Linked DNA regions of Callithrix jacchus. The protein of the gene in region 2 binds, or shares a complex with, the protein of the main gene of each other region. Links are inferred from orthologs where the notes say so. Each region holds a gene or a part of one and is shown on either strand. Other genes may lie near its edges.

What was found.
Region 1: the proteins of VEGFC (region 2) and KDR are in contact, whole or in part, in a crystal structure (PDB 2X1W), measured with the Homo sapiens proteins. The link is inferred for Callithrix jacchus from reciprocal best matches to the Homo sapiens genes VEGFC and KDR. Residues at the interface, in NP_005420.1 of Homo sapiens: Thr148, Asn149, Phe151, Lys153, Phe186, Ile188, Val190, Pro191, Leu192, Gln194, Pro196; in NP_002244.1 of Homo sapiens: Val135, Tyr137, Ile215, Val216, Val217, Val218, Asn253, Val254, Gly255, Ile256, Asp257, Phe258, Asn274, Arg275, Asp276, Phe288, Leu289, Ser310, Ser311, Gly312.

Annotation. Positions count from the first base shown.
Region 1 is NC_133504.1:141,635,088-141,638,739, reverse strand, and holds part of KDR (vascular endothelial growth factor receptor 2), read right to left. Parts: intron 2,832-3,652; coding exon 2,635-2,831; intron 1-2,634. UniProt on the Homo sapiens protein: Tyrosine-protein kinase that acts as a cell-surface receptor for VEGFA, VEGFC and VEGFD. Plays an essential role in the regulation of angiogenesis, vascular development, vascular permeability, and embryonic hematopoiesis.
Region 2 is NC_133504.1:14,624,660-14,628,311, reverse strand, and holds part of VEGFC (vascular endothelial growth factor C), read right to left. Parts: intron 1,400-3,652; coding exon 1,293-1,399; intron 998-1,292; coding exon 664-997; intron 1-663. UniProt on the Homo sapiens protein: Growth factor active in angiogenesis, and endothelial cell growth, stimulating their proliferation and migration and also has effects on the permeability of blood vessels.

The DNA.
Region 1 (3,652 bases), about 130 Mb from region 2:
ATTTTAAGATTCTGGACACCAGGGATATGATTCTTTCTAAAAATCATGTTTAATAGTGATTGCATTTCGTTTAACATTTAGGAGTCATTGATATCTTCAATGACAAACATCTGAAAAGCTACCATTCCAAAGACTGAGAAGAAAACTGAAGAGATTCTGGCCAGGTGCAGGGGCTCACACCTGTAATCCCAACACTTTGGGAGGCTGAAGGGGGCAGATCACTTGAGGTCAGGTGTTTGAGACGAGCCTGGTCAACATGGCAAAACCCCATCTCTACTAAAAATACCAAAAAAAACTAGCCGGGCATGGTGGCACGTGCTTATCATCTCAGCTATTTTGGAGGCAGAGGCAGGAGATCAGTTGAACCTGGGAGGCCAAGGCTGCAGTAGGCTGAAATAGTGCCACTGCTCTTCAGCCTGAGCAACAAGAGCAAAACTCCATCTCGAAAAAAAAAAAGATTTTGAGGCCATTCAAACATTACTCATCCAATGTTAACACACTGCTGGAAAACTTGTCCATTTCCCAGAGATAGAGACGATGTGGTGTGGAGTCATGCTTGAAGTCTCAGAGAGATAGCATTTCACATTGCTATGCCCAACACATCTGATCAAGCATTTTCAGAGTGCTTCATAACAGTGAGTCAAAGAGAAGAAAGAGTTAATTAAACCACGGGGGGACAAAGGCAGCTAATTCCCTGCAACAGCAGAAGTTTGATTTCCTTCCCAGCTGGATAGCACAGAAAAGCAGCCAATCTAGCCCACCACATGCCATAGCCATTATCTTATAAGGCCAGGGCTGACTTCCTGGCTCCATCCATTGCTGAAGAGAATGGGGTCAGAAGACTAGGGAAGTAAGGTGGGGATCGGAGGGGACATTAAACACCTATCCATAGAGAATACTTTAGTGTTTCCTTTCCCATTGTTTAACTTCATGGCCAAAATCTTGGACAGCCCAACTCCTAGAACTTTAGGCTTAGACAGGAAGCAGAATTTAATGGTATACCGAAAGACAGGCAGCGTACCAGTAAACAGTGCTAAGGATTGCTACTTCTTAGTATTGCCTACCTTTCATCCAGATGTTATGAAGTGTTACATAACTTGCTTACAGAACAAGCCTTTGGAAATTAAATTAACCCTTTGACGTAACACTAAACCTGTTTAGTAAATCAATTCTATTTCAGTATCTCAAAAGAAGGAAATAAACAAAAGAAACCCAAACAACCACCCATCCTCTCAAAATAAAATATTTACTGAAATTCATGAAATGAATTTTCACATGTCTCCAAGTTTCCTGACTTAGGGAGAAGTAAATAATGAGATATTATGGGGGAGGTTCATCTTGTAGTATTTCCAGACAGGCTAAAAGCAGGAAATCCTCGCCCTCGTCTGACAGAGCTGCATCTCCCAAGACTGCCAGATCAAAAGGAGTCAGAAATTCTCCAAGATCTGAGCCTTGTCTCTTTCAAATCCTGCAGAGGGGAGGAGGAGGGCACAGCATTCTATCTTGGACAGTGCTTACTCTGGCAAAAATAATTCTCAAATATCATGAATCTAGTGGCATAAGTTATTTTGACGTGGTCTCCACTTTTTTATTGCACTAACCATATTAGACACTACTGAGATGTAAGCAGATATATGCCAGTGTGTTTCCCAAAGCTGATGAAATTCTTGCCCTGTAAAAGCTGCTTCTGGGAAAAAGGTCTAGGTCATCTTCACCTGTCTCAAATACTCTGGGATGTAAAGAGGCATATACATGAATACATAAAGTGTCTGTTTATCTTCACTGAAAAGAAAAACGTTTGGTACATCCAAGCAAACTATGATGCAACCCTTACATTCCTCAAATTTATATCATAGAAATCTCATTATTTAAGTCAGGTTTTCACAGAAAAAAATAAGATAGTGTAAGATTTTTGAAACACAAAGAATGCATAGCTCATGATAAATATTGAATATGTGTGACATTTATTTTATACTATATGGTTGTTAAATCAGCCTCCATGGTATCAATCCCAAGTTGCAAATCCTAGAAAAATATGGTATATCATCCAAGATCTCAGACTAAACAAGCAAAGGAAAGAAACATTGTCCTCGAAAGACTCTTTGAAGCAATGTCTTTATTTGCACATGAGTATGGGAATTGTTTTTTATGAAGTATTAGTAAGAAAAAAAAAGTTCCTATGTGCAAAAAAACTCCAGAGCTCTTGGCAAAAATGCTTTCCTATGAATTCTTGGGAAAATCTTTTCTTCTGCTATAGATAACTTGTCTCTCCACAGAAATCTCTTCATAATTCACCCCCAAATCTTCCTCAATTTCAAGAATTTTAGGTTGTCTTCTCAAACATAAGAAGACTTTTATAAGTCTCAGTGGCCAATAGTGAACACGAATTTACCCTGGAAACAAAGATCAATCCCAAACGAATTGGGCAGAAGAGCGGTAACACAGCCCGAGCTCTAGAATCAATCAATGAGTCTTATTTCTCAGAGGAAGCCTCAAGAGAGAAGAATTTTCTGTATTCCACTTGACAAACAGCCTTTAGAGCAAGCTCTTTCTTGTACTCAATTCTTCTTTGAGGCTATTGTCTTTTATAACTGGTAAAGAGACGTGGGAAATGAATTTTATTTCACCACTTACCTTGAACATAGACATAAATGACCGAGGCCAAGCCAGTTTCCCGGTAGAAGCACTTGTAGGCTCCAGTGTCATTTCCGATCACTTTTGGAATTGTGAGTATCTTACAGAAGAGGCCATCACTGCATTCAGTCACCTCCACCCTTTCCTCGGTGCTGCTCTGATTATTGGGCCAAAGCCAGTCCAAGTCCCTCTGTCCCCTGAAAAATTAATTTCAGGGAGGTATTAAAGTGAAGTGCCTGACTATGAGGCTATTTCTAAGAAAAGAGAAACTTTAGTTCTCAAACTTAAGTAAACTCTTACCAGACATAGTCAAAGTCTTCTACCGGCCAGGCATGGTGGCTCAGGCCTGTAATCCCAGCACTTTGGGAGGCCAAGGCAAGTGGATCACCTGAGGCCAAGAGCTCAAGACCAGCCTGGCTGACATGGTGAAACCCCATCTCTACTATAAATACAAAAATGAGCTGAGCATGGTGGCACATGGCTGTATTACCAGCTACTCAGGAGGCTGAGGCATGAGAACTGCTAGAACCAGGGAGGTGAACATTGCAGTGAACCAAAATCATGCCACTGCACTCCAGCCTGGGCAACAGGGCAACATCATCTCAAAAAACAAAAAAAAGTCTTCTACCAACAACAAGTTGGATCGACATATGATGGAAAGTTACAAACTCAGAGGTCACTTACAGAGATTCCTGAGTTTTCTATTAATTAATACATTCTTTCATTCAACAAATATTTATTAACCATCTACTACACGCCAAACTTGTTAAGGACTGGAGAAAGAGCAGTGAACAAATCAGACAAACATCAATGTCTTTGTGGAACCTCAGTCTAACTGGAGAAAACAGGCAATTAAAGAATAAGTAAAACTGATTGTATGAAAGATGGTGTTTAGTGCTATGGAGAAAAATATAGAAGATGCAAAGAAAAGGGTAAATAATTCTGCAGGAGGTGGTCTTGATGAAGCTAGTCATATGAACATCACGAAGAACAGTAATACAGGAGCAAAAGCAGCACA
Region 2 (3,652 bases):
GAAGCAATTCTGAAGGAATGTGGAGAGTCAAATGCACAGGTCTGACTTACACAGTAGGATCACCTTATTCTCTGGGATTAAAGAGGAAGTGGTTCAGGGATTAACACTAAATGTGTTTGAGTCCAATGACTTCATTTTTTTTTTCTTGGTGAAGAAGAGAGCAAAAGCAAGTTTAAGAAATGAGTTTTGAGTACCTTTAACAACATATTCATATATTTCTTTAATTCTATCAAATACTTACATATTTTCATTTCCAGACAGAATTCTATCTACAGTCAATGGTACTATCCTATCCTTTGTAAGTTTTACATAAAAATTGTCTGCATTTAGAAAAGTTGTCCTAAATTATGGCTGAAGGCAGCATCACACTTTTTGGATCGCCTGTATGTCTTTTGAGAAGATCCCCCAGGGTCCACTAATTTAGAGTATATTCTGAGCTTGGATCTAGTTTTGATCCTCAAGCCTCCTGTCTTGCTTTTTTGGAAGCAAATCCAGTCTCATGAAGGTTTAGCACTGCTTAAAAAATTAATAATAATATTTTGTCTTGCAGAACTTACTGGGCTCATTCTAACAAGCAATTGTTACTGTAATTAAGAAAACTGCCATTGGTTTAGAACATATTTCTAGTAAGAGCAATTCATCCCCTTTCTGAGGATCTCTTACCTGCATGTTTGGTGTTGAAACTTCTTTCCTTTTAACAAGCATTTCTGTGGACTTTCTGTACATTCACAGGCACATTTTCCAGGATTTAGGGGTTGATTTCTGGGGCAGGTTCTTTTACATATACACTGGCATGTGTTTTCATCAAATTCTCGGTTGGCCCCACATTGGCTGGGGAAGAGTTTGTTTTTACAGACACACTGGCATGAGTTTCTGTCTAGTTCTTTGTGGGGACCGCAGCTGGCAGGCCGAAGCCCCCCTTTGCAGACACATTGGCAGGTCTCTTCATCCAGCTCCTTGTTTGGTCCACAGATGTCCTGGAATCCATCTGCTGAGTCTAGACAAACACAGTCAGAGCGTCTTTACTATACCTTACTTGGTTCTAGGTGTGGTGTAAAACAATTAAAAGCTTTTAGAAGCATCTTCCTTTGTATGTCTGCCATCAAATTGTTGTGCACAAACATGGGTATATTCCTTTATAAAGGAGTTCAAAGTAATACCAATGTCAAGTAGAAAATGTAGTATTTTTAAGTCACTTATTTGAAAGAATGAATATTGTACATTAATATTAGAATATGTTAATCACAATATAGACCCTTGGCATTTAGTCGTTAAAACATCATTCTTCTTACCATCTCCAGCATTTGGGGAAAACATAAAATCTTGCTGAGCCAGGCATCTGCAGATGTGATTATTCCACATGTAATTGGTGGGGCAAGTCTTGTTTGCTGCCTGACACCTTTGGAAGAAATAGACAGGGTTAAGCAATGGTATAACTGGTACTTAGAAGGAACCATATCTGCTCACATATGTATCACAATACATGCTTATAAAAAAGCTTTAAAAAGATAAGAATTATGAAATAAAATGTGAGTATTTTCTCCCGAACTCTCTACCCACAACTGCTATCAAATTGCCACCCCAGAAGTGATCACTGTTTGTGATATCATCATATAGGACACTATACCTTTATCTTTTTAAGGCAAACACATTGACTTGTATAATCATGTAGGGTTTTAGTTTGTAAAATAAATAAGGTCAAACCTTTTATTTTACTTTGAAATTTCTTTTTTCCATTATGCAATATATTTTTACATGTCATTGAATAGAGTTCTACTCCATTATTTTTAGTGGCTAGGTAATATTACATACAAAAGATGTACCATTATTTATTTAATCAATCTCTTAGGTAATTACCTACATCACTTCCAATTTTGGATTTTTGAGCAATGCTGGAGGAAACATCCGTGTAAATGTATCAAATGTATCTTTACTGACTTATTTCCGAAGCACAGATTCCCACGCTGTAGTCTCCAGTAATGCAAAATTTCCACTCTGGACTCCACCAGAAAGTTATCAAAGATATTTTGCTTTGATCTTGTTGTTCTAGCTCTTTACCTCCTTCCTTCTCTCCCTCCCTCCTTTCTTCCTTCTCTTCTCCTCCTTTCCATTTTATTCCCCTTCCTTCCTTCCTTCCTTCCTTCCTTCCTTCCTTCCTTCCTTCCTTCCTTCCTTCCTTCCTTCCTTCCTTCCTTCCTTGTTTTAGTAAAAATTATAAAGCTAAGGCCTCAAGCAAGTACATCAACTGCTCCTTTGATGGTCCAATGGCCCCACTGTTGCTACCTGAGACCCCTCTCTGTTGGTGCCCAAGTGAGATGAGCCCTCTCTAGGGTGAACATATGTCATAAGCTCAGTTTCCTCATTTTCTCTTCCACATCTGTAATCAGCCATTTACTCAGCAGCCTTAAGTCTCTTTGTTGGAAAATGGCATTTTGGAGGCTCTCATTTGAGATCAGAAGCATTCACTGCCATCGGATCACATTACTACTAGATCTTTTCAGGGGGCAGACCCAGAAAAATGCATGTACATCCTGTAGAATGTTTCACGAGTTAATGTTTACCCAGTAGAAGGATTTTTGGTTTTGAGTATCTTAATTTACAGAGTATATATCAACCTCTCACTGCTTCATTTTTCAACTAATGTTGGTGTGTAGACATCAAATGGAAGTATTTACTTACATCTTTCATGCTCAGTACAATATTGTAAACAATTTTCTGTGCTGGAAGAATGCTGAGTTAAATTTCAAACTAATAGAACATAGTAAAATCCTATGTAGCCATCTTAACATGTGCATTGAGTGTAAATAAACAGGCCACTTGCTAAGAAAGTCTTGCAGTCACACTCAGTGTGACAATAAATCTTTCTTTCAATAATAGCCCGATAACTCTTACAGCACCACATGAAAAAATTTTTCAACAGGAAAATAAGCAAATCTGCATTTTACAACCATGCCTTCCTTCAGCTGAAACACCATTTCTGAAGATTTAGCAGCGCTTTCCCGTCTGGCAATCTCAACAGCACCTCCTAGACACAAAGAAGGTGTCTTCGTTCCTCTTAATATAACAGTTTGTCTAAGATTGCCCCGTTGTCCTTCATCCACCCATTGCCTTCTGCAAATAGCAATGACTGATTTGACCCTTCTTTCTTTCCCCCTTCTTGACTTTCTTTAAGAATCATGTCTTCTTTAGTGTGGAAGAAACCTATTATGGGTCTTTTATTTAATTTGGACTTTCAGCTTTCTGATTGCTATGTGTTATTTGCTATAACATACCATAAAGTAACAATTTCTCATACAGCATACACAAAGTCCATGTAACTACATGCAAAAGCAACTGTATGTAGTAACAGCAATAATTGTTGGATGATTAGGAAACAATACACATTTTGGATTTTATCAAGATAGTTTGACACTTTTCTACAGGCATTATTAGGTATACATTATTTTGTGGGAAATAGCTATGTTTTGGGTTTACCTTCCATTCACTATAATTGTTCCCATTTAGAACAACAAAAATGTGCTAATAAATATCTATTTGTGAGAATAGATTACTGATCTTAAGCAAGAGATTCTTGTGTATATTTTTAGAAAAAAATTTTCATATTGTTACCTCCAAATCCAATCAACATTACTGGATTTTAATGTAGTACCTG